Drosophila melanogaster: one gene and its partners. The protein of the gene in region 1 interacts with the protein of each later gene in a pairwise test. Each region holds a gene or a part of one and is shown in the gene's direction. Other genes may lie near its edges. The genes, in order: sturkopf, Cpr, Jheh3 and Ubi-p5E.

Region 1 (6,744 bases):
AGCAGCTAGATTATGAATAGAGAATTAATTGACACTGGTATGGCCCTATATTGAAATCTAAATACCTGTTGACGTCTTTCGGCGCTGGGACTAGCGGCAGCCAAGCCCATTTTGAAACTTATAATATGGATGACAACATGCAAGAAGTTCTGGACAAGATGCTCGAAGTATTCAGCCGGTGTTTGGGCCAACCACTTGTTCAGCACTTTCCGTGGGTTCTCTGCTAGCTTAAATATGGCATTGGCAAACGGAACCTGCAGTGACTTGTAGTGCTTGGAGTTGACGAACTCGTGGTAAAGTGGGAGCAGAAGATATAATCGCATGCTCTCCACATCTGCCGGTGAGCAAACCAGCGAACCAACTAGCTCCTTGGTTATATTGTCCCAGATCTGAAAACAATGAAATGATTAAAACAGATACCAATGATGCTTGTAATGGCGAAAACTTACCACCTGCCTAATGCTTTCATTTTCCACAGCGCGCAGATTGTCGAATGCTAGTTGGGCTGCTTTCAGATCCAGTCCATGGTTGCGAACCGAGCATCCAAAGTGTCGGTCGTGATCCAGCAGAAAGGAACCATTCCAACACGCCTGGCTTCTAAATATTAGTTCAATAGAGCTCAGTAGATCCATGTCGCTTTGAAGGCCCTGCTTGCATTGAGCACACTGCTTGGTGACTTCTGCTGTTAGGGTTAGGATCTGGGATTTGGGGCTGCAAAGTAGATATATGTTTATAGTTTTATATGTTTATACTAAAGTAACACGCTTCTATAGTTACTTGTAGTTTCTGAAATCCTCGGGCGGCACCTTGTCTACAAACAAAGTTGTGGTCACAATCGACTGATCGCCACCTGAGAAAATCTGTCGGATGACCAACGAGACCTGTGAATCATTGGATTGCAACAGGGCTGATCCGCTGGGCGACACCCAAGGACCGATGACCACCTGCGGCAGCATCAGGCTCTTGGTACTCCTCGTGCCCAGCTGCCCAGAGCTACCCAAGCCAAAGGCATAAACTCTGCCGCGCGATGGAACAAGCGCCAGAGTGTGCCGATTGCCACAGGCCACCTGAGTGATGGTGCTGCCCATTAGCTCCATTACCATTCGCGGTAGCATCTCATTCGAGCTAAAGCCATGACCCAACTGCCCATAGGCGCCAGCTCCACAGGTGAACACCCCTCCCTCGTTGGTCAGAAAAACGGAGAACTCATCGCCGCAGGCCACAAATCGCACGCCCAGGGTGCGCAGCGTTTTCAGCTGGGTGGGATACGAGCGGTTCGTTTCGTCATTCAGTCCCAGTTGCCCGCAGTTGTTTCTGCCCCATCCGAACACCGCACCGGACTTGGAGATGAGGAACGAGTGATTGCCTCCACAGGCAATTGCGGCCAGCGGAATTCCCAGCAGAGTGGTTAGTCGGAGGGGATAGTTGCAATGTGTCAAATCATTGGGGGAGTTCACGCCCAGCTGACCGTAGATGTTGGAACCCCATGAATACAGCTCGCCACCTAGAAACGTCAAGGATGATGTTAGTCGGAAGGTATCGTTGTTTAGCTTTAGATAAGAATTGTTTAGTAATGCCCTAAACTTGGGAAATACAATTATCTTATCTTGTTTCAAGTAGTTCTGATGTGTATCTGTGTATCTAGTGAATGGAATCCATTAAATTTCACTCCATACTTACAACTGGTCAGTGCCAAGCTGTGATTGTTGCCGCAGGCGATCTGCACCACCGTCTTTGTGACCAGTTGCCGCACAACCTTGGGCAGCTGCACGATCTCCTTATCGGTGGCATGGCCCAGCTGGCCGCAGTCGTTGTCGCCCCAGCTTAAGACCTGGCCCCAATCGGAGAGCGCCAATGAGTGGCGGCTGCCGCAGCAGATCTGGATGATCACGTAATCCTGCAGTTCGGGGATAAGCACTGCAAAAAGTCGGCCGGAAGATGATTGCGGGGTTTAGACTCGGTTCACAGCAGTGGCTCGCGTAGTTGGTGAGTATGGAGATGAGGTGGAGTTAGTGGAGAGTGGACAGACAAGACGATAAATGAAGATTACATACGAAATGGCGACATACGTGGCCTTTTGGTGGGCAGATCGTGGCCCAGCTGGGAGTAGTCGTTGCTCCCGCAAGCGTAGACTTTTCCAGTGGCGGTCAGAAAGAGAGTGTGTCGGTGTCCACAGGCGACCTGCTGTACAGCAGTGTCCGGTGTCCAGGGTATCTGACTAGGTGTGAGGATCTGTGAGGAAATCAATGGCATACAAAAGTAATATCAGTGGGCTTATATCCGAAAGTCATCTATCTACCTGCTCGTCCTCGATTCCGCCAAGTCCCAATTGACCATGTGACGTGCTTCCCCAGCAATAGAGCTCTTTGCCAGATGCCATTGCTCTGGATCCGCCCAATAGCTCCTTCGGTTGTTCTGGGTATAATAATTTACTTGTTGGTGCTACAAGAATTTTCGAGAATGTCCCCAATTGTTAGCTACATTCTTTTGTGTCCACTTGCTCCCGATTCCAATTGCTCGGTTCATGCCTCGTCAAGCTTTCGATGGGTGTGCCTTCAGAATCTAAGTCTAATCCTGAATCCTGTTACCTACAACGCTCTATAAATTTTAGGCCTTCTAGAAAAAAAATATAAAAACTCAAAAACCAGCAACAAAAAACCAATAAATAATGGTGGCGATGCCAACTGGTTGGGATAGGGCCACATTGCCCACGTTGGCAGCCCTGACAATGGGCTTAAGCTAGGGCTGCATCGCTTGCGGACTTTTAAGATCCGCTTTGAAAAACCTTAAGATCGGATAATTCTCTAGAACTTATGCTGAACACGAATATCAAAATGTTTTCTCAATTTTTTCCGAAAAAAGAAACAATTTGCGATTTTACATATAAGTTTTGGTTAATAAAAAATGTATACGTAGGTAACTAATGTTAGGGAGTACTTTCGAATATTTAATGATGATAGGTAAAAGTTAATATGAAATTTATAAAAGCTTCTAGTACTGTAAAGAGATATCAATAGGTTGACAAATAATAATTTACGCCATAGTATTTTTTTTAAAGTTAATGCATTTTGGTTTTTTTCTTTTTTAAACAAAATTATCTACACTTTTTCTCTGTCTGAGCAATCGTTATCATGGTAAGTATCCGCTAATATAGAACATCTGATTTTGGCATAGCTTGCCGCCCTGGTTTCTGTATCAGCCGTTTTTAAGCCGCTGAACTTGTGACCTTTGTCCATTCTTGCTGGAAACAATTGGCCGAAACACATAGCAGTGTTTATCAGAGCTATCAACCCTGGGGATAAACCGCGCCAATCCTCAAGATTTGAAACTCGTGAAAGGCTGCAGCCGAGGTGGTTGGACAAAGGAAAACCGGTTGCCACGGGGATTAGACAACTCATCGCGTGTGAAAAGAGTGGGATCAACACAGGTGCCGATTGATTTTCAGCGCAGTTTGCCACGCCAACAGCAGCGGAAAATATGCAGGAGGCCTACGTCAACATCAACTCCATTCCCACCCACATATTCACATGGGGCAGGTGGATTGAGGAGACCATAACCGAGAAGGAGATCGTCATCTGCATAACTGGCAATCCCGGTTTGCCAGGTTTCTACACAGAGTTCGCAGGCACTTTGCAAAAGGAGTTGGGCGATCTTCCAGTTTGGGTGATAGGTGAGTGTGCTGGCGTTTCCACATTGAGTCGGTAATAGCACACTTGATGTTCCCTCCAGGGCACGCTGGCCATGATGATCCGCCAGAGGCCAGTATTCGGGAGGTTCCTCAACTCAGCGGCAACGAGGAGCTCTTCAATTTGGACGGACAAATCCGGCATAAAATCGCCTTCATCGAGAAATACGTGCCAAGTGATGTCAAGATCCACTTGATTGGGCACTCCATCGGAGCGTGGATGATCCTGCAGCTGCTGGAAAACGAGCGGATACGGAGTCGCATCCAAAAGTGCTATATGCTGTTCCCCACCGTCGAGCGGATGATGGAGTCGCCCAATGGATGGGTGTTCACCAAGGTGGCCATGCCCCTGTACTCCGTGTTTGGCTACATTTTCTTCAGCTTCTTCAACTTTCTGCCCGTGTGGTTGCGCCTGATGCTGATACAGATCTACTTCTTGATTTTCTCCATTCCACGACAGTTTCTGGGCACCGCCCTAAAGTACTCCAAACCATCGGTAGCGGAGAAGGTGGTCTTCCTGGCCGACGATGAGATGGCCAGGGTTCGCGGGATTCAAAGGGAGATTGTAGAGCAGAACCTGGACCTCCTCAAGTTTTACTACGGCACTACCGACGGATGGGTACCAATCTCCTACTATGACCAGCTCAAAAAAGACTACCCCAAGGTGGACGCCCAGCTGGACACCAAGAAGATCGACCACGCTTTCGTCCTGCGCCACTCGCAGCCTATGGCTGTAATCGTAAGAGACATGATCCAGCAGCACAGACGTGTTTGAAGTCGATTGTTGACCTGGCCCAGACAATCAGCCCTGTCCATTACCTAATCCATCCATGCCAATAGACTTGGGAATCCGGATTACGGTTGAACAGCAAACCAATAGCAATTACTCCACTGCCTTTGTGTGGCAATTAGTTCGTTTTTATTAGTATCTTTTTGCAGCTCTCGAAGACAACTCTAAATATAGTCAAAAGTGATTTAACACGGTTGAGAGGTGCGTTATTTTTCCGGGGACCCTGATCTGCTACGGGATTCGGACTTGGATCGGCTGCCAGAGCGAGAGCGGGATCTTGAACCCGACGGCGAGCGGGATCTCGAGCGGGAACCGGACTTTGAGCGCGATCTCGAACGGGATCCCGACTTGGAGCGAGACCTCGATCGAGATCCGGACTTGGATCGAGATCTTGAACGGGAACTCGACTTGGAGCGAGCACGGGACCCAGATCTATCCGATTCCCCGCCAGATTCGATGCGATTCCTGGCGCGCTTCCGCTTAGTTGCTTCATCACTGTCACTCCCAGATCCAGATCCACTTCTGCTCCTGCTGCGCTTGCGGCTAGCCTCGCGATCACTGCCGCTTCTAGAGGCACTGCCACTTCGGCTACCACTGCGATTTCGACTCCTGCTTCTACTTCTGCTCTTGCTGCGCTTGCCGTCAGACTCGGATTCGCTGGTGGAGATCGTCTCCTTGGAAAGCACCTTGAGGCGCTGCTTGGCAGAAAGCTTCTCCTTGGACTCTTTAACCGGCTTCGGCTTCTTGCCCTTCTTCTTTCCCGACTTGCCACTGGCACCTGGCTCTTCCTCGCTGTCGCTCTCGTACTTCTCCGTTTTGCGCTTGCGACCGCCACCCTTTTTGCGTTCCCCCTTGCCCTTCTTCTTCGAGGGACGTTCTCCCTCACGACGAGCTCCATCGTTATCGCTTTCGGTACCGGAGATGTAGTCATCTTTACGACCTCGCCCACCACCCTTCTTGCGTTCCTTTTCAGGTGGAGCGTCCGCAATGATGAGCATGTTCTTGGTCTTCTCCACGTACTCCTGCCGCTTGGCTAACAACTGGTCCCTGGAGGTCTTTGCCTCCTCCTCGCGCCGCTTGCGCTGCTCCGCCACCTTAATTTTGAAGGCCTCGCGCTCCTCTTCCTGCTTCCGGCGCAACGAGCGCTCCTCCTCGTCAATGCGACGTGCACGGCCCACATGGTACTGGGCCTGAGAGAGAAGATCTTGGCAGGTGCTTGCCTCAATGCCAGCCACCTCAATGTTGAAGCGATTCTTATCCCCGTGCACGGACAGATATTGGAAGTATCTATAAGAGATTGGGGTGGGATATTGTGAGTGAGATTTTAAGCACGAAACAAAACATATTCATAGAAATAGTTATTGACCATGATCAAGGAAATCATCAGCTAATCTAATCCAATCTTCGGTTTAGCAGTTCATGATGATTGCTTTGCATTAATATCTAATCTGATCTGATAAGCTAAAATGCCATTAATGGTTACTCATTTCTGCTGTACTTCTAAATATAATCAAATTCACGTTATCACTTGGTTGGTACTCTAATAACCACTTGAAAATATTTGATAGGCGCAGTTTAAGAGAGCAAGGATACCACTTACTTTTGAGCCAGCTCCAGTTCATGGACAGCTTGCAGCACAATTTCCAGAGTAGATTTCTCATCCTTGAGTATGGCCATGGCCAAACGTGAGAGGACCACTGCTATGTTGAAGAGTAGAACTGTGTCCTGGGGAGCAACTCGACGGGCCTTAAGTAGCACTGCCTTGGCATCGACCAGCTTGTTGGCTCGTAGATACGCTCTTGCCAGATATTGCATTACCTCGACGTTGTTGTGCTTGTAGAACTTCTTCATGCAGTTCTCATACATCTGAATAGCGCTGATGTACTGCTTCTGTTCGACATAAACGTGCGCAATGTTCAGCCACACGTCGCAAAAGTCGGCGGTGGCTTCGCGCACCTGGGCGAAGATATCGCGCGCCTCGATCACGCATCCCTTATGTGCCAGCACGGCACCGATTCCATTGGTGGCCCAAATATTTCGGGGATCATTGCGAAGAACCTGGAAAGCGGATGCATTTCGTTACAAATTGAGCTATAATTGGTCTATTTTAATCTGTCCCACTTGTTTGAATATGGCCAAAGCCTTCTCCTGGTGCTTCCTCTCCTTCTCCTTATCTCTACTCGGCTGATGCAGTGTTTGCAACGAAAAGTTTCCCAGAGCAATCAGTGAGTAGGCGTCGGTGGAAGTAGACGGATTCTTGAGGATCGTT
Region 2 (10,439 bases), on another chromosome or scaffold:
ACATGCCACTGCTGCTGTGCAGGTTGTTGTTGCTCAAATCCAGGCAGGAGCTGCTTTGTCCCAACATCTGGTTAGCGCTGGTAGCCAGCGAAATGTTGGAGGAAATCATCTGCTGCTGCTGAATCTGTTGCTGCTGCTGCATATGTTGCTGCTGCTGATGATGCTGTTGCAGTTGCTCGGCGGCCGCCGCTTCATTGTAATCGTAGTCGACATAACCAACGCTGTCAACGCCCAACGGACCACTCTCCGCATCCGCACCACTTCCCAGGCTCGAGGGCGTGGCCGTGTCAATATAGCGCTTGAAAAACTTATGCTGGCTAATGGTGAGCTTCCAGAAGTAACGTGCCGTGTCCGCCTCGCTGAATATAAAGCTTCCCACGATGCTGCCGCCACCATCCAGCTTGTTCTGCTCGATCTTAATCGTTCGCTTGTCGATGGTCACCGTGTGGAACTCCTTCCATGGAAAATACTGCCGACCGTTGTCCGCGTTCACCACCATCCCGTTGATGGCCAGGCCCAGCAACAAATCATTGCCGAGCGTGTCCTTGGCGGCGAAACGTTCCTCCCCATACCCCTCCAGCTGCTGGCAGCACTGTATGTACATCTCCTCCGCCTGGCTCTGACTCAGATGTGCAATGCCCGCCTGCTGCTGCAGGACCTCCACGATCAGTCCCTCCAGCATGCTGTCATCGTTGGCCAGGCCTTGCATGTTGCGCGGCAGGACCAGCGACTTCTTCAGATAGTCCTTGCTCTGTTTGTCGCCCTGGTAGCTATCGTACTCCGCCTGGCGGCAGTAGAGCGCCAGCAGTATGGCCGTGCGGATGTCACAGGCGATGCGGCCCTCGTAGATGTCGCTCTTCAGCTGCAGAAAGTAGTAAAAGCGCGTGGCTTCGTCGCTCAAGTGGCGCACGCCAGTGGTCACGTAGTGGCGAACGCGCAAGTAGATCTTGGGGCCCGCCGCATACTTCTCCAGCTGCCGACTGAGCGAGCGCTCCAGGTCGATCCATTTGAACTCGTCCTCCTTGTCCTTGCCCTTGACCAGGTAGCGCAGTCCAAAGAACTCCGGCTGCTGGATTAGCAAACGTTGGCAAACGTTGTCCAGGCACTCCTGTCCCTTGCTCTCCGAGCTGATCGTGCAGTCCACTGTGCTGGATGTGTCTGCAATGTAGGTAAGAGTGAAAACGTGCTTCAAACATCGGCCTAAGTCGCTCCAAGCACTCTAAATTCGCCGCACAACAACAATTTGGCCCTGCCCGTCGCACGCGCAAATATGCAAATAAAGTTTATAATCTCTTTCGAGACCTTATACGTTTTATGGACGGAAATTGTGGCGGCGCCGCTCAATTGGCTTCTCTCATCTGTCGTATTTCCTAACTAACGAAACGTAGGCCTAATGTCTAAAACCTTTCTGATGGTTGGAGAAATTTGGGTGGTTTTAATTGAGTCAAGGTCTTCAGTTCGCTTGCCAAATAAGTACATTCGGTTAAGTGTATAAGAACTACAAAACATGCTTTTGTTTAGCCCAAAATCGAGAGTAAATAATATACAAAATGTGAAGTACGCAAAGTTAGGAAGTTCTCATAGGCAGTCTGTTAGTTTTAGAATTAACGGTCGCTGTTATGTGTCCTGTGCGCCTCTGTTAACTCAGCGACTGTTAACTAGAATGCAACAAGTGAAGGCATTTTTGTGGTCTGTGCCTTGGAAGGCGAATTCCAGCTAAACTGGAAGTGGGCGCCGCATGACAATCGTTGTGCACATTCCCAATTAAATAATCCCAATTGCAATGGCAGACGGCAGCTGTTAAGTTGTGGCTTTGTCACCGATTTCTTGTTGTTTCTATTGTCTCGTCTCCACTGTTGCTATTGCTGTTGTTGTTGTTGTCGTTGCTGTCGCTGTTGTTGTTGTGGGGGGCGTAGCGCCTCTAGGAATGTGGGGCTTACTCACCCAGCAGGTGATGCACTGATATAACAAACAAACTCTTGGACGTAACATTGTACTGGCGACACTTTTTCAAGAATTTCAATGGCATTTTTCGACTATTTTGCTCCACCGGGGCTCCGCTGGGCTCACAAAAGTGGCTAAAACGGCAGCACCATCGACACCACAGGTTTTTTTTGGGGGAGTAAATTGCTCAATTGGAATTAGCCGATTTGAATCAGCTGATTAGACACGCAAACCAGAGCACTGCGCGTATTGGTTAAGTAAAGTTAAAGATAGTAATTGGGCAGTTAACGACAATAAATAAAGGAATTCACGAGAAATAAAACGAAGAGACCGAAGTGCTGATATCGATACGCAGGTGCTGACTGAGTATCTCGGTGGCTGGCATCGAATGGATCGATAGGCGGCATTGACTATCGGTATGTCTTTGCGCAGTGGGCTGCAAGAAAATAGGTTTAGTTCTGTTAAAGAAAACAAGTGCAACCAAGAAATATGTAACTGAAACAAAACAGTTTATATTTTAAAATATATAACAATGCAGTCAGCAGTGATTAAATAAAATTCCTAAAGATATTAAAACCACTGATACACACGAATACTTCGTTGTACACAGCAAGAGAATAACGGTTTCTAGCGAACAGTAAAATATCAAACTTAACAGAGCTACTGGACACATAGGTGGCGTGCTGGCATAGCTCTGTTATCCGTTCCAACTCCAGTGCTGGAAAGTGCGCGCAACTGAGAAATCCACACCGCGATTCGACGACGGTCCCTCTGGAATTCAGTAATTTAGTACTGCTGCTGCCGTGGTAGTCGTCACTTCCCCTTTGCACTTGCCGCCCTCCGTCAACGTTTTATCGAATAAAGCGAATTAAAATTAAGATCGTGGCTTCGCCCCGCTGCGTAACTGAATAAAGCGAATTTAAATCAAGGGCTTTGACGTCTGCCAAGCTGCTGAGAGGGGCTGCAACAGGAAGAGCACCAGAGACGGGGCACAAATCCACATCCACATCCACCGATCGTCGTCTATCTACAGAGGATTAGGAGCAGCGCAGTCGGAGATCGCGATCGGTGAGTTTCGAGGAGCCGAATCACAAGGCCACGCACTGTCGAAATCCAAAAAGCAAAACCCGATTACCAAAATCGAAATCCAGTCCATAATTAATTTGCTGCTTAGATATTTCGAGCGCTGCATTGGCGGTCAAGGTTGCAGCGACGAGGACAGATGATGGAGCAACCGTATCGCTCACTCGCTCGCTCACACACACACACACACACAGAAGAGCCCTGCGAGCGAGTTTAAAGTTCAGTACCTGTTGCTGCGCTCGCCCAGTCTCCCTCTCCCTCTCGCTCTCGCACAGCCTCGCCGCCGCCCGTGCGATAGTGCGCTCTCGCTCACTCCGTCCGCGCTGCGTGTAATTTAATTTAATTCACTTCTGTTATTAATTTGCGCTATTTGCACGCTGTATCGCCGCCTTTCACGTCTCAAACCGAGTCGTAGGCCGAATTGCATAACCAAAAACGCGACTCGGGTCGCCAATCGGCCATCAAGTTACTTTTCTGCTCGTGGCTCTCCGCTGAGAACAGCTGTCGACTGTCTGCTTCCCGTACAGTAAGCACTCGATATGAGCGACGAAGCTATGTTCTTAATTTCCGTTAACCTGCCTTTCCTTATTCAAAAAATCAACATTTGAAAATCCTAAGTACACCAACTTTACACATTTTCCAATTGGAGTTGGCGTTGCATTTAGTTTCCAATTTATTAAAAACAATTTGTGAAAAAAGCCAACCGATATATTGTTTTATGCTAATTAAACACACACACATTAATGACGATGTAAACAAAATCCTAGTATCAAAATTTACTACAACGAAATTGAAAGTGGCTTAGTTCGAAAAGCCGAAGTGTGTATACTCTTGCTGCCTTGTATAACTGAACTCTGTAAAATCGTTCCATTTTGAAAGAACTAAGAACTTAGTAGGAGATACTGCAAGTCTAGGTATGTACGTACATACATATTTACATATATATAAATCAGTTAAAATATAAAAATTGTACATTGTTGTACACTTCCTAAGAACTTTTATGGATAAAAATTAGTTCTCTGAAATTCAAGTTCAAAGACAAACTAAATAAATATATTATATTATATGTTATGACACCCCATTATAGGGTTACCTACCTATTAAAGCTAGACTATTAGTTCTTCCAATTAAAGAACCATTAAAAGGGCAGGTTCCGTAATGGGATTACATTTAATGGACTTCGGTTAAAGTGAGCGCGGAGTTACATTTCATCCTTTCCAGACAGCCAAACTAGGTTTATGATAACGAAAGCCACTTGGGCGCGAAATAAATATGCATAGTCATGCTTACTTTATAATTCTCCGTCGATTCGGACGAGTAATTCGAGAGTGTCATCGTGTTTAGGGAATTTTAAAATCACATATGCCAAGCGAGATTCTAAGCGTTATCACGCACATTACAAGTGTGTAGGGTGATACTAGATGGGCGTTTGTTGTGACTAGATCGTAAACTTTGTTTGAATAGATGGCTAAGCAGAAATAACCAAGATCATTCATCTCATTCATTTAGATTAACTACTTAGTCGTAAACTAGAAAAAGAAGCACTCAAATAAAGAGTGTTTTTGGAGGAAACATATACACATTTGAACGAGTTAGGATCTATTGTTTCGTAAAAAAAACTAAAGAAACCGAATTTATGTTAACATTTTTGGAACATTTGTTGGTTTTCGTGATATATATGTGTGCTTCCTAACACAATTTAATCATTGCGCTGTCGTCATTCCGTCAATCGAACAGCACACATGGGTGACCTATAAAAAGACGCCAATTTTATGTTCACCTCCACTTGTTGTCAGTGTTGGTTGTTATCGGGAGCGTCGAACACATACCTTCCTCGAAATCGGACGAGAATGACGATACTGGCGTCGATTTGCATATGCCTCGCATGTGTTTAATATTTATTTTCTGCCTTTTGCTGACCACAGCAACAAGAACTATTACGCGACTCTATACAAAGTTCACGCACGTAGCGGCGCATTAGCAACATTAAAGCATTAAGTCAAACCCGAATTCAAGGTGAAAATTCAGTAGAGCTCCTTAAGCCCCCACAAAACAAAAGATAACACCTGGGATCAGCTCAAACTTCCAACTGCTTAAGTTGAGAGTTCTAGTAAAAATGCTTTCGGCACTAGTTAAAACTCAAAGCAGTCGGGGCGAATTTCATTGAACTCCAAGTGTGCATTTCAAAACCCAAACTCTAGCTTAAGTAAACCCTCTCAATTTGCATTTCCTATGCTTTTTTTTATAAATTCGGGTAAAGAAACGTATACAAACCGTATATGTACATTAAAATCTTTAAGTACTTCATAAACTGAATCCTAATGAAAGGGAATGTATTTTGTTTGGGATGATTTTAATCCGATTTCACATTGACAAGTACCAAAGCCTTTGCTTAGTGCAATTGGCGATTTCCTGGAACAACGGCTGGTAAAGGTGTTAATCGAGTGATTGGAAATCAAATTTCGTTATTTTGCGCCGCTCAAAGAGTATTTGCTTGGGAACAGCGCATTTCGAACGCTTTTACTCGTTTTCATCATATCTCTCGACCGGCGACGGCATTCGATAAGCGCGTGCATAAAACCTGTTGCTCCCGGCGGTCAGTGAGCAGTGCTCCCTAACGCGAAACACACGTTGCGTCGCCACAGAGGCGGATCCAATCGAATTCATAGCTTTAATTGCACCAGTGCAGCACTGCAAGTGATCGACGGAGTAGTCGTAGTTGTCAGTGCAACGGGAACGTCCCAAGGTACGATCGATTAAAACCAGATGCGCGATTTCAATGTCAACCGGCGGCGCTGGCGGAACATCCAGCTAGAGCGGTACCTTGCACCGCTAAGACAAGTGCGGAAGCGGACGGACTACCGTTAGACGCACAGGCGATGCTACGCCGCCAGCGCTGGTATACGTGGAATACATTAGAGTGCGTGTCCAAAGTGCGCGACATGCAAATGGAGCTAGACCAATGTTATGCAAAGCGAAAACTAAAGCGCCGTGAATTCTGTGCCCTTTTTTTGCAGTCATACACGTACCACCATGGCCAGCGAGCAAACGATTGATGGAGCAGCCGCAATTCCCAGCGGCGGCGGCGACGAACCCTTCCTGGGACTGCTGGACGTGGCCCTATTGGCGGTGCTAATCGGCGGCGCAGCCTTCTACTTCCTGCGTAGCCGCAAGAAGGAGGAGGAGCCAACCAGGAGCTATTCCATACAGTAAGTATAGTTAAATTTGAGCAATCTAAAGCAATCTAATCCGAAGTCCAAAACCATGGCAATTCTTGAATTGAATAGTCAGTTTCTTGATAAACCTTTCAAAAAACATGCATATCACGCGTACAATTCAATATTTAAAACTGCTTCTTGAATGAAATGCCCTCTAGATCTATTCGGTTCATTCCGTCACAGATCCATATGTTCCGCCGATTTGTTGGAATCGATCGGCCATTATTTGACGCTGAATGATTCACACATCGCAAATGAATGTGTGAATACCATTGTGTGATTCATTCGTTGATCTGAGTGTTTACCTGCGTGTTAAGATAAGATTCAAATTTGGCTGAGATTTTAACGCATATCTTTACCTTCTTCAGACCCACCACAGTGTGCACCACCAGTGCGTCGGACAATTCGTTCATCAAGAAGCTCAAGGCATCCGGACGCAGTCTGGTCGTCTTCTATGGCTCACAGACCGGAACCGGCGAGGAGTTCGCCGGCCGTCTGGCCAAGGAGGGCATTCGTTACCGTCTGAAGGGCATGGTTGCCGATCCCGAGGAATGCGACATGGAGGAGCTGCTGCAGCTGAAGGACATCGACAACTCGCTGGCGGTCTTTTGCCTGGCCACCTACGGCGAGGGAGATCCCACTGACAACGCCATGGAGTTCTACGAGTGGATCACCAGCGGCGATGTCGATCTGAGCGGGCTAAATTATGCGGTGAGTACGAGCGATATCACACGGAACGGTCTTATCTGCATGCATACTGATTACACGAGTCCCCCTCGCCAAACACGGAGTCCGTTCCTCTTATCAAAACATTGTGCCACTGATAAGTGATTTTTATTCCACGCCCAATCGCAATTTTGGCTATCTCCCCGTATTTTTGCGCTTTGAGTTGTTTGTTGTGTTTTAATACAGCTGATGTAAGCGGAACGAAAACATTTGAAATGGCATTGGCGGATCCTAATTAACAGATAGGCTGTAACCTGATAGTGTAGCGCGCACGGAAGAGTTTGTTTTTGATAATAAACCTACTATTATTACTCCCCATCTCCCAAATGCCAGCAGTTCAGCGTAGACAAATTGATAGAAATCTAATCGTTTCTTGGTAGCCTTGGAGGTGTCATACACCTTAGTTTCGTTGACTTTTAAACAACGTTAAATATAGCATATTTTATTGTTGCCGACAGTCCAACTGGTAGTAAACCAAAAAGGAGTTCTATATTATCAACCTTATCAGTTGCCCAATTCGAATTCCCCGCCAAACTAGCAGCTCAAAAATGCGTCGTTCAGGTTCGCGCGCCGTAGCAGTCGGCTTTTGACTGGCAGCAGTCGCACGGAATTTTTAGTTGCTTCTTGAAAAACAATGTGCTCAATGTCGATCTCTGTTCTTGCGCAATTTGTTTACAATTGCCGTGGAAATTCTGCGGTTCAATCCAGCAAATGTCGGCCGGAAAATGCAGAGCTCGATCGCCACATCTGCCCACCTGTTCGTCAGGTTCCGCCAGCAAAAGCTGTTGAATTTGCTCAGCATTTTGAATAGTTTACGTAACAGAACAGCTGTCGCGAAAAGAAAAATTGAATGGAAGGTAGTATGAAGTTCAGTTCTACAATCAATCATAGTTCAAACTATTAAACTGATAAGTGATAACACTCAAACTTATTATGAGTCTCATTAAAAAAGATGGCTTAGTTGTTCATTCGTGCTCTGAAATTCGCGTTCCTAAGATGCATCATGTATTTTAAGTAGTTAAGTTAACTGAATTCCATTCTATAGTTACTAAATCCACTCTTATCTGATTCCAGGTCTTTGGCTTGGGCAACAAGACCTATGAGCACTACAACAAGGTGGCCATCTATGTGGACAAGCGACTGGAGGAGCTGGGCGCCAACCGGGTCTTTGAACTGGGACTGGGCGACGATGATGCCAAGTAAGTGATGAAGGTGTAGCCAACAATGTGAACCATACTCAAGTGATACTTCCCCAAAAGCATCGAGGATGACTTCATCACGTGGAAGGATCGCTTCTGGCCCGCCGTGTGCGATCACTTCGGCATCGAGGGCGGCGGCGAGGAAGTGCTCATCCGCCAGTACCGTTTGCTAGAACAGCCAGATGTGCAGCCTGACCGCATTTACACGGGAGAGATCGCCCGCCTGCACTCGATTCAGAACCAGCGCCCGCCCTTCGACGCCAAGAACCCATTCCTGGCCCCCATCAAGGTGAACCGCGAGCTGCACAAGGGCGGTGGCCGCTCCTGCATGCACATTGAGCTGAGCATCGAGGGTTCCAAGATGCGCTACGATGCCGGAGATCATGTGGCCATGTTCCCTGTTAACGACAAGAGTCTGGTGGAGAAGCTCGGCCAGCTGTGCAACGCCGATCTGGATACTGTGTTCTCGCTGATCAACACCGATACGGACAGCAGCAAGAAGCACCCATTCCCTTGCCCCACTACGTACCGCACCGCTCTGACCCACTACCTGGAAATTACGGCCATACCCCGCACACACATCCTCAAGGAGCTCGCTGAGTATTGTACTGACGAGAAGGAGAAGGAGTTGCTGCGCAGCATGGCCTCCATCAGTCCCGAAGGTAAGAAATTATTCACAAGACTTATTACTGCTGTACCAGTAACAGGAACTCCCACGAACATATACTAATGAATGTTGCATTGCAGGAAAGGAGAAATACCAGAGCTGGATCCAAGACGCCTGTCGCAACATCGTCCACATTCTGGAGGACATCAAATCCTGTCGCCCACCCATCGATCACGTTTGCGAGCTGCTGCCCCGCTTGCAGCCTCGTTACTACTCCATCTCGTCGTCTGCTAAGCTGCACCCCACTGATGTCCACGTTACAGCCGTTCTCGTGGAGTACAAGACGCCGACGGGACGCATCAACAAGGGCGTAGCCACCACATATCTGAAGAACAAGCAGCCGCAGGGCAGTGAGGAAGTAAAGGTTCCGGTATTCATCCGCAAGTCGCAGTTCCGTTTGCCTACGAAGCCAGAGACACCTATCATAATGGTGGGTCCTGGCACTGGCTTGGCCCCCTTCCGCGGATTCATTCAGGAGCGACAATTCCTTCGCGATGAGGGCAAGACCGTGGGCGAGTCGATTCTCTACTTCGGTTGCCGTAAGCGCAGTGAGGACTACATCTACGAATCCGAGTTGGAGGAGTGGGTTAAGAAGGGCACTCTCAACCTGAAGGCCGCCTTTTCTCGTGACCAGGGCAAGAAGGTCTACGTGCAGCATCTGCTCGAGCAGGACGCAGATCTTATATGGAACGTGATTGGCGAGAATAAGGGGCACTTCTACATATGCGGGTAAGTAAGCTAGAGGATCAGCCAGCACACAAGATTCTCACCATACCATTCTACCCATTTCAGTGATGCAAAGAACATGGCCGTGGACGTTAGGAACATTTTAGTGAAAATTTTGTCCACTAAGGGTAACATGAGCGAGGCTGACGCCGTGCAGTATATCAAGAAGATGGAGGCTCAGAAGCGCTACTCGGCCGATGTCTGGAGCTAATCTGATCCAAAAGCCAACCGATGATAAGCGTAAAGTTTTCTAGTTCACTAAGCTATGTAAGCGTAATTTTTGGTTTGGGAACTTCATGCTGCAGTTCAACAAACGAATGAGTAACGATTAAGTGTATGTCTAGTGTAATTGACTCTAGCTTGACCCTGGACTGTTTGATGGGACAAACTGAGATGGAATCTAAGTAATGAAATGAGCGGAGTAACAAGTTAACGATTAAGTAGCTGTGTACGAGTGCAGATTAGTTAAAGTCCTTTATACGAGCAATTTACTTCGTATTCTCTTGGTGATTTCAATACAAAAACGAAACATGTTGTGCAATTAAACAATGACATTGCAATTGTATTTTTATAAATAAAGAAAAGTACGGTTGACTTCTATAATAATGTGTGTTTGATGTTTTCGAAATAGGATAAGGATAAGTAGGGAACATTCCAATTGAAATTTAATACTTTTTCATAAGAAATAGATTTTTATATATATAAATGGAGATTTTATTTGTCTGAAAGGAAATATAAGTGCTGCATACGTTTTGTCTGAATAATAATTAAAGTTCCTGTCACAAATTTAGCGCAATTGTAAAGTTACAACACTCCACATAGCTGGTAGTTTGTTTTTATATAATATAAATATTCTTTTGGCAACGTTTTTGAAAC
Region 3 (6,584 bases), on another chromosome or scaffold:
AACATATTTTGTATACAGGGACCAAAATAATTACAATTTTTTACAACATTTTCTAAACTACTCAAAGTAATAACTCAGCACTACCAAAACAAGACTGACATGTGTTACTGTTGAAACACACTATTAGATGCCTCGAAAAAGATTTTTGAAAATTCTAAAAACTTACCAGCTAATGGCCAAACTGGGAGACAGACACACGGAAAAGTTAGGCTAATGAAAATTCCGTAAATAAGACATGTTCTTTTCTTCTAAAATGAAAACTAATTAATATACCGCCAGGATTTTATATTCTTAAACTTCACCTCATCTAATGCAAAGCATAGTAGAATCGAAGATACTATCTGACATAGCATTACGACAGTGATTCCCATAACAACATCTTTGTCAATAGTTCCGGCAAAAGTGTGATATTTGAACTGACGTCTCTGGTGATCAAATGGATAATTTACTGAGGGAAAAATATAAACATTAGCTGGCAAAACGTGTACTAACTGACCATAGCAATCCAGAATGTAGGCGTAGAAACCGAAACCACTCATTAAGTTCCACGAAGCCAGAGTTGCGATGACAAACCAACGTTGATTTGATCGATCTGGCATAGTGTACCTGCGTTTTTGTTCATAAAAAATGTATTTTTTTTTTTTAGTAGGTAAAATATGCTGAATAACTTTTCCAGGCCCGCCCCAATGGAAATCAATTTAGCGTCAGGTTCAATGGACTTTTACGACAAGTGCGTGTCAGCTGGATGAAAAACTAATTGCGACCATTAAGGCCACGCCCCCTCTTCGAGGGCGAGGCGGTTGCCAATGGCAGCGGCGTTGGTGCCAAACTTTGGCCGTAACTGGAGCACTCAATAAAATGTGAATTAGCCCGGCGGAGCCGGCATTAATGGTCCGCGATTCGGGTCCGCAATAGGAACCTCTCCATTTCCCCGGAAGGTGGCAGCTTTGACACGCTTCCAAGTATCAATGCGATTGTTTTTGCGGCACGCGAACAAACTTTAGTCTTATTTTTGTATGTTTTTCAACTGCAGTGCATCGAAAGGTAGTGAATTTGAGTCCTTTGACTGCGGCACGGTAATTGCGTTAATTTCGCTCGAATTACGTTTCCCATCATTGTTTCTGCCACGGCGAACCAACCACGCCCCCATTTGGCTGTCTTGCATGTTTGGCGGCACTTTTGTGGTTTTTTTTATCGAGTCTCCTTGCCCCTTGAGTCCTTCGATATAGTTGCATGTCGACAGCATTATTGGTGCCCTTACAATTTATGCGAATTATCCCCTACCTTTTATGCACCCAGAAATAGAAATGTGTAAAATTTAGACAAAATATTACCAAGTCTATGCATATATTTGCGATGGGTTTCTATTTTACAATTTTTATCTAATATTTTCAGTGTACAATGTCGCCTGCTAACCTCTCGCAGTTCACTGCCTCTATTAACTTGGCTTCATGGTCTTCGAGCACTAACATTCTTCTACAACATCGACGATGTCATTATCCTCCATGGCCAAGGAGTCAAATGTGTCCTCCTCCTGGATTTTCTCACCATCGAAGGCCAGGATCAGAGACTCAGTAGCAACTCCAAATGCCTGGGCATATTTTTGCCTAAGAAGTGCGGCCAAAGGTTGATCCGTTCTCACATGGCACCGCAGTTTAGGTAGATTTGAGGATAGAAGCCAAATGGTTTTGCTTTGATTGGCCATTCTATTTTACATTAGAATTACTAGGAGTGTATTTAGATAGTGATAGGTGCCACGTGGCCTTCTGATCGGCCGACTTCATTTCATTCATTTTTTGGAGCCACATCATCAGTGGCAGAAGGGCTGAGATTTATGATCAGTTGCCGGCGTAGCGCTTACCAATAAATAAGTTCGATAAGATAGTGGTGGCGAATAAGTAGCTGGGACTATTCTCAAGTCACCATCGCACTTGTCTCATATGGTACACACGTATGGGTCACCCTATCTCGCTCGGAAATCAATGGGCTATTCAAGGTGCAGACGCGGGCAAGTAACACAGTACCAGGCAGACTAACCGCAATGCACCTTGGGGCTAAGTCTATTATAAAATGCTGGAAATAGAAAATAATGAAAAAAAATATATATACTTCCTAAATACCCTTTGGTTAGGGAATTGGTATTCCTAAATACCCTTAGATAGGCAAGCTATCTAACTATCTAATTATATATTATAAGTACAAAAGTACAAAAAGTATAAAAGTATTATAAAGTACAAAAATTTCATTATAAAGTGCAAAGCTTTAACCACATTTAAATATATTTATACTTTATACTTAATTTCCCAAGCCCATTAACCTTTGAGCTGCGAGCAGACCATTATAACCAAGATCAAGCAAAGATCAATTTGACAGATCATATTGTGAACCACTGTGCACGATAGCCAGCGCTATCTAAACGAATTTATAAATATTATACGAACATATACTATAACGGCGACAGCGAATTTCGATAGAGCTTTGCGAGACAATTCGGGGAATGAGTATATGCGCCGGCAGTCAGTTCTTAAGCGGCTTTCTGGTTGCACGGTCGTGTTTATTCCGAATTCGGGTTAGGAATCACAAACCATTATCTCTTCTGGGAGGTGTACGAGGTGGCTAATTTAAATTCATAACGAGGGGGAGCTAATTGCGCCTGTGGCCAGAATGAAGTGCCTGATAGTGTTTGGTCTGATTGTGGCCCTGTTTGGTGCCTTCGTGGGCTATGGCTACGTGGTATTCACGGAACTGACCAAGCCCCTGCCCAAGCCGGAGTTCAAGGATGATACGTACTGGGGTCCCGGCGATGCCAAGGACTTTGTGCCCGACGAAAAGATCTACGAGTTTAAGCTGCAGGTGCCGCAATCGGAGATCGATGATCTGCGAAAGGAACTCAACCGCACGCTGAGACTAACCGAACCGCTGGACGGAATCGCCTTTGAATACGGATTCAACACCTATGCACTGGAGCAGTTTGTGGACTACTGGCGGGACAATTACCTGACCAAGTGGGATGAGCGCCAGGAGCTGTTCAACTCGTTCAAGCAGTACAAGACCGAAATTCAGGGGTGGGTACGAGTGCTTTTGTATAACATGGATGCCATGCTAAAAACGTAATACCTCCGCAGCTTGAATATTCACTATATCCACGAAAAGGTATCCGAGGAGGCTAAGGAAAAGAAACACGTATATCCTCTGCTCCTGCTCCACGGCTGGCCAGGATCGGTGCGCGAGTTCTTCGACTTTATACCCATGCTAACCAAGCACTCAAACATCACGGATTACGCTTTTGAGGTCGTGGCACCATCCCTGGTGGGCTACGGATGGTCCGATGTGAGTGTTATTTGTTTTTCAGTTGAATTTCTTCATTTTAATTATTATTATTATTATTATAACTTAAGGCTGCCACGCGTCCCGGATTTAATGCCGCTGAAATGGCCACTGTGATGCGTAACCTGATGCTGCGTCTGGGCCACAAGAAGTTCTTCATCCAAGGCGGAGATTGGGGCAGCATCATTGGCAGCAACTTGGCCACCTTGTATCCAGAGAACGTAATCGGTTACCACTCGAACATGTGCGTTCTGCACACGCCACTGGCCATTCTGAAGGGAATCTACGGCAGCTTCTTCCCGGAGAAGTACTTGCCGTCCAGATTCTTTGTGGATCATCACTTCCCCGTGTGGGAAAAATGGCTGGAGCTGCTGGAGGAAAGCGGTTACTTTCACATCCAGGCCACCAAGCCGGATACGATTGGAGCGGCTCTGACCTCCAGTCCCGTCGGCTTGGCCTCCTATATCCTCGAGAAATTCCAGACCTGCACAAATCCCGGCCTGAAGCAGGACTTTGGCGCCATAGTCACTGTCTTCGGCCTGGAGGCTGTGCTGGACAACCTGATGGTCTACTATCTGACGAACTCGGCCACGACAGCGGCTCGTTTCTACCTGGAGAACGTGTCCAAGACGTACAGGGATCTCCAGCTGGATCGTGTGCAGTCCCCGGTTCCCATGGGCTGTGCCCGCTTCCGGTTCGATCTGGCCTCGGTGACTGACTGGCAGCTGAGGGACAAGTTCCCCAACCTGACCCACTCGATGTACTTCCAGCAGGGCAGCCACTTTGCCGCCCTGGAGATGCCGGCCATGTTGTTCAATGATTTTACCGCCTTTGTGGGAAAAATTGGCCTACACGGCGAGAAGAGAAAATAAATTGTTTTAAGTATAATTACCAAACGGATTTTGTACTTTCGCTTGGGAATCGGGAGGCACATGAGATAGCTATTAAATTGGCAAGGCGACAAAAGGTCAACGTATTTTAAGTACGGTTTTGCAGTAAGGTGGTTGGGACCACCTCAGTACCACCATAACGTGGTTACATAATATTTAACAAATGTGGAAGGGAAATAGAAGGGGGTAAGACAAAATCTTTTTTAATTACATTACAATAAAACTAATAACTATAAATAGTAGGTATGGTTAAGAAGTAATTGCTTGTAATCCATGTTTGTAATTGACCGCAAACTAAAAAAATATTATTGATTCTTTATTTATATATATGTATATATGTATATTTATATATATACAGTCATGGTCAAAATTATTTTCACAAAGTGCATTTTTGTGCATGGGTCACAAACAGTTGCTTGTGCAGCAAGTGGGGGGAGGTGAAATGCAAAAAAACTTTTGCTTTTGCAAATTCAAACCTATGCAGAGTCAGATGAAAGAAGAATTGAAAAAATAACTGTTCCTATGCGCAAGGAAGAGGCAAATGAAGAGATCTTTATCAGTTGTCAGAAGTATTTGCACACGGTTTCGTCGCATCACAATTATTTTCACAACGCAATTTCTTCTTCAGTGATTGGTTTAGAGTGACAAGTGCCGGTTTGTTTGCTTAAATACATTTAAATTATTGAATAAAAATTAGATTTAATCATTTTCCTATTACAGTTATTAAATAAAATGCCCAAAACAAAAGAGTTAACAGTTGAGGCCCGGGCTGGTATTGTTGCTAGGTTTAAAGCCGGTACACCTGCGGCCAAAATAGCTGAAATATATCAAATTTCGCGTAGAACTGTCTACTACTTAATAAAAAAGCTTGATACAGTTGGCACATTAAAAAATAAAAAAAGATCAGGCCGAAAACCTGTGCTGGACCAAAGGCAATGCAGGCAAATACTTGGAGTTGTGGCGAAGAATCCTAGTGCCAGTCCGGTAAAAATTGCCTTAGAATCAAAAAATACAATTGGCAAACAAGTTAGTAGTTCTACAATTCGTCGCAGGCTAAAAGAAGCTGATTTTAAGACATACGTTGTTCGCAAAACGATTGAGATCACACCAACCAACAAAACAAAACGTCTTCGATTTGCGTTGGAATATGTTAAGAAGCCTCTTGACTTTTGGTTTAATATTTTATGGACTGATGAGTCTGCATTTCAGTACCAGGGGTCATACAGCAAGCATTTTATGCATTTGAAAAATAATCAAAAGCATTTGGCAGCCCAGCCAACCAATAGATTTGGTGGGGGCACAGTCATGTTTTGGGGATGTCTTTCCTATTATGGATTCGGAGACTTGGTACCGATAGAAGGAACTTTAAATCAGAACGGATACCTTCTTATCTTAAACAACCATGCTTTTACGTCTGGAAATAGACTTTTTCCAACTACTGAATGGATTCTTCAGCAGGACAATGCTCCATGCCATAAGGGTAGGATACCAACAAAATTTTTAAACGACCTTAATCTGGCGGTTCTTCCGTGGCCCCCCCAAAGCCCAGACCTTAATATCATTGAAAACGTTTGGGCTTTTATTAAAAACTAACGAACTATTGATAAAAATAGAAAACGAGAGGGAGCCATCATTGTAATAGCGGAGATTTGGTCCAAATTGACATTAGAATTTGCACAAACTTTGGTAAGGTCAATACCAAAAAGACTTCAAGCAGTTATTGATGCCAAAGGTGGTGTTACAAAATATTAGTATTGTATTTATATAAAATAAAAAAAATTCTTATGTTGAAATTAGATGTTAAGCTGAAATTTACTAAATTAAGTTGAGTGAAAATACTTTTGAAGCGCAATAAACATGTGAAAATACTATTGACAACTTGCATGCATATTTTCTTTTGCTTTAAGCTTTGTACTATGAACCGTTATCTTTCGTATTTCTTTTCGACTACCTTCTGCATAGATCAAGCTAAGCGATAAGAACTATTTCAGGCAAATCGGACAACAACAAGAAGAAATATAACAAAAAGAAGTTGAAGTTTGCAAATATTGTGCGTTGTGAAAATACTTTTGACCACCTCTGTATATATTAAGGGCTCCGCGTGTTGGTAATTCGAGTTCTTAATCATTATTAATTAATTAAATCAGTATTTAGTTAAATGTCATATAACAATTTCATTTTAAGCATGAATCGTTTCTTGTTCACTTTACTTTCGTGGATTGATAAATGGAACTGCTTGATCATCTTCCTAAACTAAATGTAAATTTTAAGTACAAAAATTGCTCTCACTCAATTTGTTGCCAAAAGCTCGCCGAAATTCTCAAATTATTTGTCCAATCATGCTCGCATTGCATTGCCGTGTGGAAT
Region 4 (7,620 bases), on another chromosome or scaffold:
GCAGCTGGAGGACGGACGTACTCTGTCCGACTACAACATCCAGAAGGAGTCGACCCTTCACAGTCACTTTAAGTGGTAGAGAGCGAAAACAAATTAACCCACCGTGAGGGAGAGAGCAGGCGGCGAATTTCCAGTCAACTTATACCTATACCTATAAATACCAGCGCGCTGCTGTAAAACGAATCGTAAGCTGTGAAAAAGTCGTAGAGAGCGGACGTCCGAGCAAGTGAAGAAAGCAAGTTTTTGAATATTTCAAAAAGTGCAGACCAAATGTAAAGAAATAAATTAGCTTTTCTGTGCGAAACAGGAAAAAAATTCCGGTTAGTTTGGCAAGTGTTTCATAGTTTTTTTTAGTTGCTTTTAAAATGCCGAAGCAACAAGTGCAGTAAGCGAAAAAGGGTGCATTCCATGCATCTGTGTGTTTTTTTTATATACGGCAGGAAAATGAAATTCAAAGATACCGTCCACCGTCCGTAGATGGCATGCACGATTCATAACTCTCAGCTAGAGAATTATGCCTACGTACTAAACAAAAATCTCTGATCTCTCTCCTGTCCTTGTCAAGCTCACCGGCACTGCCAGTCAAAGTATTTTATCGGTGAGCAGGTCATGGTCAGATCCGACGAGCGATGCGGAGATCGTGATGGGGACTTTGTTCCCGCCCTTGAGGAGGCACGCTAATGAAGTCCATCGTCTTCTGGCTTGTGGCAGTCATAGAAGCTGTAGGGGCCAAAGTCTCCACATCTACAGCTGCACTGCAGTCGCTAGTTTTCGGCTGCTTGCTCACCCCTCGCTCCGTGAATTGGAGTTCGGACTCCTCTTGTAGGGGATCTCGATAGGCTGTAGCTCCTCCTGAACGGGTCGTTGGGATCGGGCACTGCCTCCCCTGTTCTGTCCATCTGATCTAATGGGCGGACTACGGCTTGTTGGTCACCAACGTTAGAAAGGGATCCATTGTGGGCCACGGATTTCTCCCTGGCGTTTTACCGGTGGAGGTTTATGCCGCCTCTAATCGGACACCAGAGCCTTTGCTTAGGCATCAGAACGGCGAGAGGATGATTAGTTGTCTGTCCGCGACCTTTAAGCCTTTTCCCTTTCTAAGAGGTTGTTCCGCTCCGAAAGAATCAAAACATGTTTAAATTCTTAATTCAAATTTTAATTTTAATTCAAATTAATTAATCCAAATTCGAATTTGAGCATGAACACACTTGTCGTGTGTGTGTGTGTGTGTGTGTATGCCCAGTTCCAGGGGATTTTATTATTATTTTTTTTTGACTAAGTTAGAGATTAGTCACCAAACCTAAATTTACTGTAAATTAACGAAAAAACCAATAATGTTTGTTTTCTGTATGTGTATGCTAAAATACTCTTCTGGGTCGCGGGAATTGGGTCACTACGCAGAAAATCAATTTCCTTCCACTTTCCATTACTCAGCCAACTTTTTTCCTTTTCCATTTCTCCACTCGCAGCCAATATGCAAATTTTCTTTAAGACTCTGACCGGCAAGACCATCACTTTGGAGGTTGGACCATCCGATACCATTGGGAACGTCAAGGCCAAGATCCTAGACAAGGAGGGAATCCCCCCAGATCACCACGTTCACCATGCGAACGGAGGTGGAGCGCATGCTGACGTTGATTGCCCAGGGATCGGCTAACTTTCAGGATGTTTTGCGACACGCCATCAAGATCTTCAAGCTGAAGTTTATGTACTTTGTGAAGAACATCGACAGCATGGACGCACTGTTTCAGGTATCCTTCTCGCCGCTGGCCGAGTCGGGCATTGCACTGCTCTACCGGCAAGATTGCACTGCTCTCATTGCGATGAGACATACGCCCTGCCCATTGGAATGTGAAGGTGTATCGCGAGTTCAAGTGCCCGCTGGATGATCTGCTGGCTTTCTCCACTGGCGTGAAGGGGCGTTCGTATCCGTTCTGCCCGTACTGTTACAACCATCCGCCGTTCAGCGACATGCCCCACTTGGGGGGCTGCAACACCTGCACGAACGCCAACTGCCCGCACTCGCTGAACACGCTGGGCATCTCCAGCTGCGTGGAATTCCATAATTGTAAAACATTTCTTATATTTGGATCCATAAATACATTAATTTATTTCTTAATATAAAGCAAACTTAATGAAATCTCGTGTAACTTGGAACTATTTTATAGTAAGAAGCTACCAATTCCAAAAAAAACTTCACTTTTTTGGAAGGAAAAACTTTATTTTGTTTTTTTTTTTTTGTCATATCATGGGGAATACATGTACACTGGATTGTTAGTATGAGAAATTCATGACAATTATTTGAATAATTGTATATATTATCCTATATCTTTAGTTTGTACTTAAAGAGTTAATAACGTTTACTATTTTAAGGGGTTACATCAAGGGTTAAGCTGCTGAAATCAGCATACATCAGATTTCATCAGACCCTTCCATTCCTGGAACTTTCCAGATGCAATTGTAATGCATATGTACATATGGAAATAGCATTGTACGCATACTGGCTTATGTGCGAGTGGGTTGGTGGGAAATTTTAAATTGTTGGGCTCTCTTGTCTAAAGGCTGATGACCAAAGCGAAGACAAATCTCCCAGGCGGCGTCAAAACAAAAAAAGGTCGATTAACTCGCCAAACAAAGAACGTCACAAGAAGATGTCTGTGCGTCTACATGCATACATATGTATGTATATACAAATTTATACACCTCCCTCTGTTAGAATACACACACAAACGCATACACTTCAACAGCTGAGATTAGTGTTGGAAAGAGGGTCAGGCAACTTATCGATAACTCCGCTCTCTCGCTCACGAGAGCGAGCGAGATAAAAGCAGTGCACATATGCACTACGCATTTTGTTTTCAATGCCCAATTTTGCGTATTGCAGCTAGCCAATTGATTGGCCTTCATGTGTTAAATACTCTTGTCAATGCGAAATCTCATTTCCAATAGACTAGACAAAAGAAACGGTCACTTTAAGTGGCAGAGAGCGAAAACAAAGTAACCTACCGCCCGAGAGTGAGCGAGAGAGCAGGCGACGACTTTCCAGTCAGCTGCCTATAAATACCAGCGTGGGGCTGCGAAACGAATCATAAACTGTGAAAAAGTCGTAGAGAGCGGACGTCCGAGCAAGTAAAATAAAAGCAAGTTTTTGAATATTTCAAAAAGTGCAGACCAACAGTAAAGAAATAAATTAACTTTTGTGTGCGAAACAAGAAAATAAGGTGAGTTCAGTTTGGCAATTGCTTAATAGTTTTTCTTAGTTGCATTCAAAATGGCGATGCAGCAAGCAGAAAACGGTGCTTTCCATGCTTCTATCTATGTGTGTGTGTGTGTGTGTGTGTGTGTGTGTGTGTGTGTATGCCCAGTTCCAGGGGATTTTTTTTAACGAAGTTAGAGATTAGTCACCAAAACTAAATTTGCCATTTCATGGCGAAATAATGCAAGCTGTGAAAACATTAACGAAAAAACCAATAATGTTTTCTGTATGTGTATGCTAAAATACTTTTCTGGGTCACGGGAATTGGGTCACTACGCAGAAAATCAATTTCCTTCCACTTTCCATTACTCAAGCCAACTTTTTCCCTTTTTCATTTCTCCACTCAGGCAATATGCAAATTTTCGTTAAGACCCTCACTGGCAAGACCATCACTTTGGAGGTTGAGCCATCCGATACCATTGAGAACGTTAAGGCCAAGATCCAGGACAAGGAGGGAATCCCCCCAGATCAGCAGCGTTTGATCTTCGCCGGAAAGCAGCTGGAGGACGGACGCACTCTGTCCGACTACAACATCCAGAAGGAGTCGACCCTTCACTTGGTCCTGCGTCTGCGTGGTGGCATGCAGATCTTTGTGAAGACCCTCACTGGCAAGACCATCACTTTGGAGGTCGAGCCATCCGATACCATTGAGAACGTTAAGGCAAAGATCCAGGACAAGGAGGGAATCCCCCCAGATCAGCAGCGTTTGATCTTCGCCGGAAAGCAGCTGGAGGACGGACGCACTCTGTCCGACTACAACATCCAGAAGGAGTCGACCCTTCACTTGGTCCTGCGTCTGCGTGGTGGCATGCAGATCTTTGTTAAGACCCTCACTGGCAAGACCATCACCTTGGAGGTCGAGCCATCCGATACCATTGAGAACGTTAAGGCCAAGATCCAGGACAAGGAGGGAATCCCCCCAGATCAGCAGCGTTTGATTTTCGCCGGAAAGCAGCTGGAGGACGGACGCACTCTGTCCGACTACAACATCCAGAAGGAGTCGACCCTTCACTTGGTCTTGCGTCTGCGTGGTGGCATGCAGATCTTCGTTAAGACCCTCACTGGCAAGACCATCACCTTGGAGGTCGAGCCATCCGATACCATTGAGAACGTTAAGGCCAAGATCCAGGACAAGGAGGGAATCCCCCCAGATCAGCAGCGTTTGATTTTCGCCGGAAAGCAGCTGGAGGACGGACGCACTTTGTCCGACTACAACATCCAGAAGGAGTCGACCCTTCACTTGGTCTTGCGTCTGCGTGGTGGCATGCAGATCTTCGTTAAGACCCTCACTGGCAAGACCATCACCTTGGAGGTCGAGCCATCCGATACCATTGAGAACGTTAAGGCCAAGATCCAGGACAAGGAGGGAATCCCCCCAGATCAGCAGCGTTTGATTTTCGCCGGAAAGCAGCTGGAGGACGGACGTACTCTGTCCGACTACAACATCCAGAAGGAGTCGACTCTTCACTTGGTCCTGCGTCTGCGTGGTGGCATGCAGATCTTCGTTAAGACCCTCACTGGCAAGACCATCACTTTGGAGGTCGAGCCATCCGATACCATTGAGAACGTTAAGGCCAAGATCCAGGACAAGGAGGGAATCCCCCCAGATCAGCAGCGTTTGATTTTCGCCGGAAAGCAGCTGGAGGACGGACGCACTCTGTCCGACTACAACATCCAGAAGGAGTCGACCCTTCACTTGGTCTTGCGTCTGCGTGGTGGCATGCAGATCTTCGTTAAGACCCTCACTGGCAAGACCATCACCTTGGAGGTCGAGCCATCCGATACCATTGAGAACGTTAAGGCCAAGATCCAGGACAAGGAGGGAATCCCCCCAGATCAGCAGCGTTTGATTTTCGCCGGAAAGCAGCTCGAGGACGGACGCACTCTGTCCGACTACAACATCCAGAAGGAGTCGACCCTTCACTTGGTCCTGCGTCTGCGTGGTGGCGCCATCTAGATTTTTTCACCCTTATAAAAATTGAAGTTAGTTAGTTGTGCCACAGGGCATAACTCAAGAATTCATACTAAGTTTTAGTAAATTGGTTTATTCAAAGGCACAAAATAATCAATCACAATAATTATTGGTATTCGAAGAATAAAATTTTCAATTTGTGTGTTCAATGTAATACTCTATGTAGTTTTTATCTGTGTTTCCCAGGGTTTTTAATTTTGTGGGGGATTCTTGATAGAAAGTTGCAATAAACATTGGATGGCGTTGGAGTGGTGGATTTAATTTGAATATTTAAATTTGTAATACTCTATTGTATTTTACTGGAATTGTACCACAGGTACATTGGAATTATTGCTTAGGTACCTTATGTGGTATATTTGGGGTATTTTGTGTGACCAGCTGACTCCAACGAAAAGTGGAGCCGGCCACACTGGAATAGTCCGAAAACCTGTTAGCTTGCGTTATTTAGTTAAATTTGCGGAGAAGAGCAGGCAGGCGCAGTCAGGCAAGATGAGCAAGGAAATCCGTTTGGCCACCGTCAACGAACACAACAAAGCCACGGATCTGTGGGTGGTCATCGACAACAAGGTCTACGATGTGACCAAGTTCCGTCTCGAGGCAAGTGGCGATGCAGATTGTTGGTTTTAGGGGGGGGTGGCGAATCCATCTAATTCGATGCCCTTATCTCCAGCATCCCGGTGGCGAGGAATCCCTGGTGGATGAGGCCGGTCGCGATGCCACCAAGGCCTTCAATGACGTGGGTCACAGCTCGGAGGCGAGGTTAGAGAGTCCATCTTATAGCCAGTGCGCCTGGATCACCTGATTCACATTTCTTCCCCACTTGCCTTTTCAGAGAGATGTTGAAGAAATACTACATTGGTGACCTGGCTGCTGCGGACATCAAGAAGAAAAGCCCAATTAGGTGAGAATCCTGTCCAGCAAGTGCATGCAAAGACCCAACCAAGCCAAAATGCCATATCATCATGTAAATAAAGAAAGCCCTGCGGATTTCCCTTCTCCGCTCCCACACGGATTGATCTCCTTATCTCGCTAGAACACCAGTATTCCTGATAAGGCATTTCATCATCATCATTTCGTACGCTCCACTTTCCTTAATGCATGAAGCTCCTATTCCGACCACAACCGGTTTCGCATGAGCATGGCCTGCGTTTCAATCAATAAGTACAATTAGCCAACTCTTATGTAATCCATTAATTGCCTCGAAGCCCCCAAAGTTTCACGCTTCACGTGTCCTGAAAGTCTCTATTTCGTACACTTTTTGGTGTACTACTTTGATACCCTTTGATACGATTGGATACCCTGAAGAAGATAATGATGATACAGAAGTGTTCCTTAAATTATATCAATTATTTATATTCCCATATAGAGTATCAACTTTTTCTTTACCAACCGCTAACAAAGCCACAATACTTAATATTTAATGAATCTAATGAATCTCAACTTGCATGTATGATATTTGCTCCATTCAAGATTTAATTCCTTCTCAAGCACGAAAATAAGGTTCTACAAAAGCTAGTTGGACTTGTAAGTTCTAACCACTGACCTGTGTACATATATTACCCATCATGATTAACCCAAAGCACACGTCAAGCAACTGGAATTATGTACATATATAAATGTGATAATCTAGAATACCAACAATTTGCACGCTGTAATTGGTCACTCTTTGGTTTTGTGAATGGCACCCCACCTTGACTTGCGTTTTTATTTTGATTCTTGGTTCTGTGCCTTGGTAAAGTGCCACGCCTACTGATGCCGCCGCCACCCCCAAGCAATGCTGCATCCTAAGTTAAATCAACCCCTCTAGAAATGCCTGCAAAACCGTGTAATCCTAGCTAGCTAACCAAAGTGCACCCAGTTTTGTTGTTGTGACACCCAGTCGGTCGGAGTGCCTTATCCTGACCATGATACTCCCATTGATTTAAACCGCCTTTCATATTCTCTATTCCATGCAACAGCTGCCGTCATGTGGCACTGGCCCTGGGCGCCGCCTTCATCGGCATCTCGCTGGTCTATGTGATCCGACGCGGTGTGGCCAGAAACTAGTCTGCGGCCGGACTGCATTACGAGATTCCAGATATATTCCCCCAATTTGGGAACATCAATTTCCTCACACATTTGACACGAAATAAATTGTACAAATTGCTTAAATTACACAACTCGGGCGTTTTATTCATAAAAGCTGCGGATAAAACCAATCTTGAATTCCCATTAGTAAGAAGAGCTGGCGGTATATTTCTGGTCAGAAAAAATTGAAATTTATTTTTCATTCTTCCGTCGTCACAAACCTGATTGCTCCCCGGCCCACCGGCGTCTCAGCTCCTGCCCAGCCGTTCTACTCCTACTCCCCCACCGCCAGGTGATGCACCCACTCCAACGGCAGGCGTTCCGC

Evidence for each region.
Region 2: the proteins of sturkopf (region 1) and Cpr interact in a protein complementation assay, tested with the Drosophila melanogaster proteins (one study listed by BioGRID).
Region 3: the proteins of sturkopf (region 1) and Jheh3 interact in a protein complementation assay, tested with the Drosophila melanogaster proteins (one study listed by BioGRID).
Region 4: the proteins of sturkopf (region 1) and Ubi-p5E interact in a protein complementation assay, tested with the Drosophila melanogaster proteins (one study listed by BioGRID).

Annotation. Positions count from the first base shown.
Region 1 is NT_037436.4:1,309,646-1,316,389, reverse strand, and holds sturkopf (sturkopf), read left to right. Parts: upstream 1-3,012; 5' UTR 3,013-3,134; intron 3,135-3,184; exon of another isoform or gene 3,185-3,268; 5' UTR 3,269-3,477; coding exon 3,478-3,670; intron 3,671-3,729; coding exon 3,730-4,460; 3' UTR 4,461-4,671; downstream 4,672-6,744. Other genes in the region: Herc4 (HECT and RLD domain containing E3 ubiquitin ligase 4), read right to left, coding at 1-5, 66-389, 450-711, 778-1,504, 1,681-1,917, 2,055-2,232, 2,300-2,380; Ctr9, read right to left, coding at 4,682-5,762, 6,076-6,533, 6,597-6,744. UniProt on the Drosophila melanogaster protein: Probable serine lipid hydrolase associated with lipid droplets. Appears to lack or have very low cholesterol esterase activity. Appears to lack triglyceride lipase activity.
Region 2 is NT_033779.5:6,336,114-6,346,552, forward strand, and holds Cpr (cytochrome P450 reductase), read left to right. Parts: upstream 1-2,722; 5' UTR 2,723-3,012; intron 3,013-3,711; exon of another isoform or gene 3,712-3,941; intron 3,942-5,641; exon of another isoform or gene 5,642-5,773; intron 5,774-6,044; 5' UTR 6,045-6,060; coding exon 6,061-6,236; intron 6,237-6,613; coding exon 6,614-6,956; intron 6,957-7,585; exon of another isoform or gene 7,586-7,696; coding exon of another isoform or gene 7,697-7,828; intron 7,829-8,045; coding exon 8,046-8,170; intron 8,171-8,230; coding exon 8,231-8,832; intron 8,833-8,917; coding exon 8,918-9,566; intron 9,567-9,629; coding exon 9,630-9,774; 3' UTR 9,775-10,167; downstream 10,168-10,439. Other genes in the region: Pez, read right to left, coding at 1-1,158, 1,945-2,029. UniProt on the Drosophila melanogaster protein: This enzyme is required for electron transfer from NADP to cytochrome p450 in microsomes. It can also provide electron transfer to heme oxygenase and cytochrome b5. May function to clear the olfactory organ (antennae) from accumulating chemicals.
Region 3 is NT_033778.4:18,858,007-18,864,590, reverse strand, and holds Jheh3 (juvenile hormone epoxide hydrolase 3), read left to right. Parts: upstream 1-2,512; 5' UTR 2,513-2,664; coding exon 2,665-3,065; intron 3,066-3,125; coding exon 3,126-3,330; exon of another isoform or gene 3,331-3,398; coding exon 3,399-4,199; 3' UTR 4,200-4,216; downstream 4,217-6,584. Other genes in the region: CG43070 (uncharacterized protein), read right to left, coding at 58-107, 167-248, 303-448, 497-599; CG43069 (uncharacterized protein), read right to left, coding at 1,466-1,705.
Region 4 is NC_004354.4:6,274,737-6,282,356, reverse strand, and holds Ubi-p5E (Ubiquitin-5E), read left to right. Parts: upstream 1-2,709; 5' UTR 2,710-3,221; intron 3,222-3,603; 5' UTR 3,604-3,608; coding exon 3,609-5,213; 3' UTR 5,214-5,481; downstream 5,482-7,620. Other genes in the region: CG11700 (uncharacterized protein), read left to right, coding at 1-79; CG3566 (uncharacterized protein), read left to right, coding at 5,718-5,825, 5,899-5,987, 6,061-6,129, 7,187-7,274.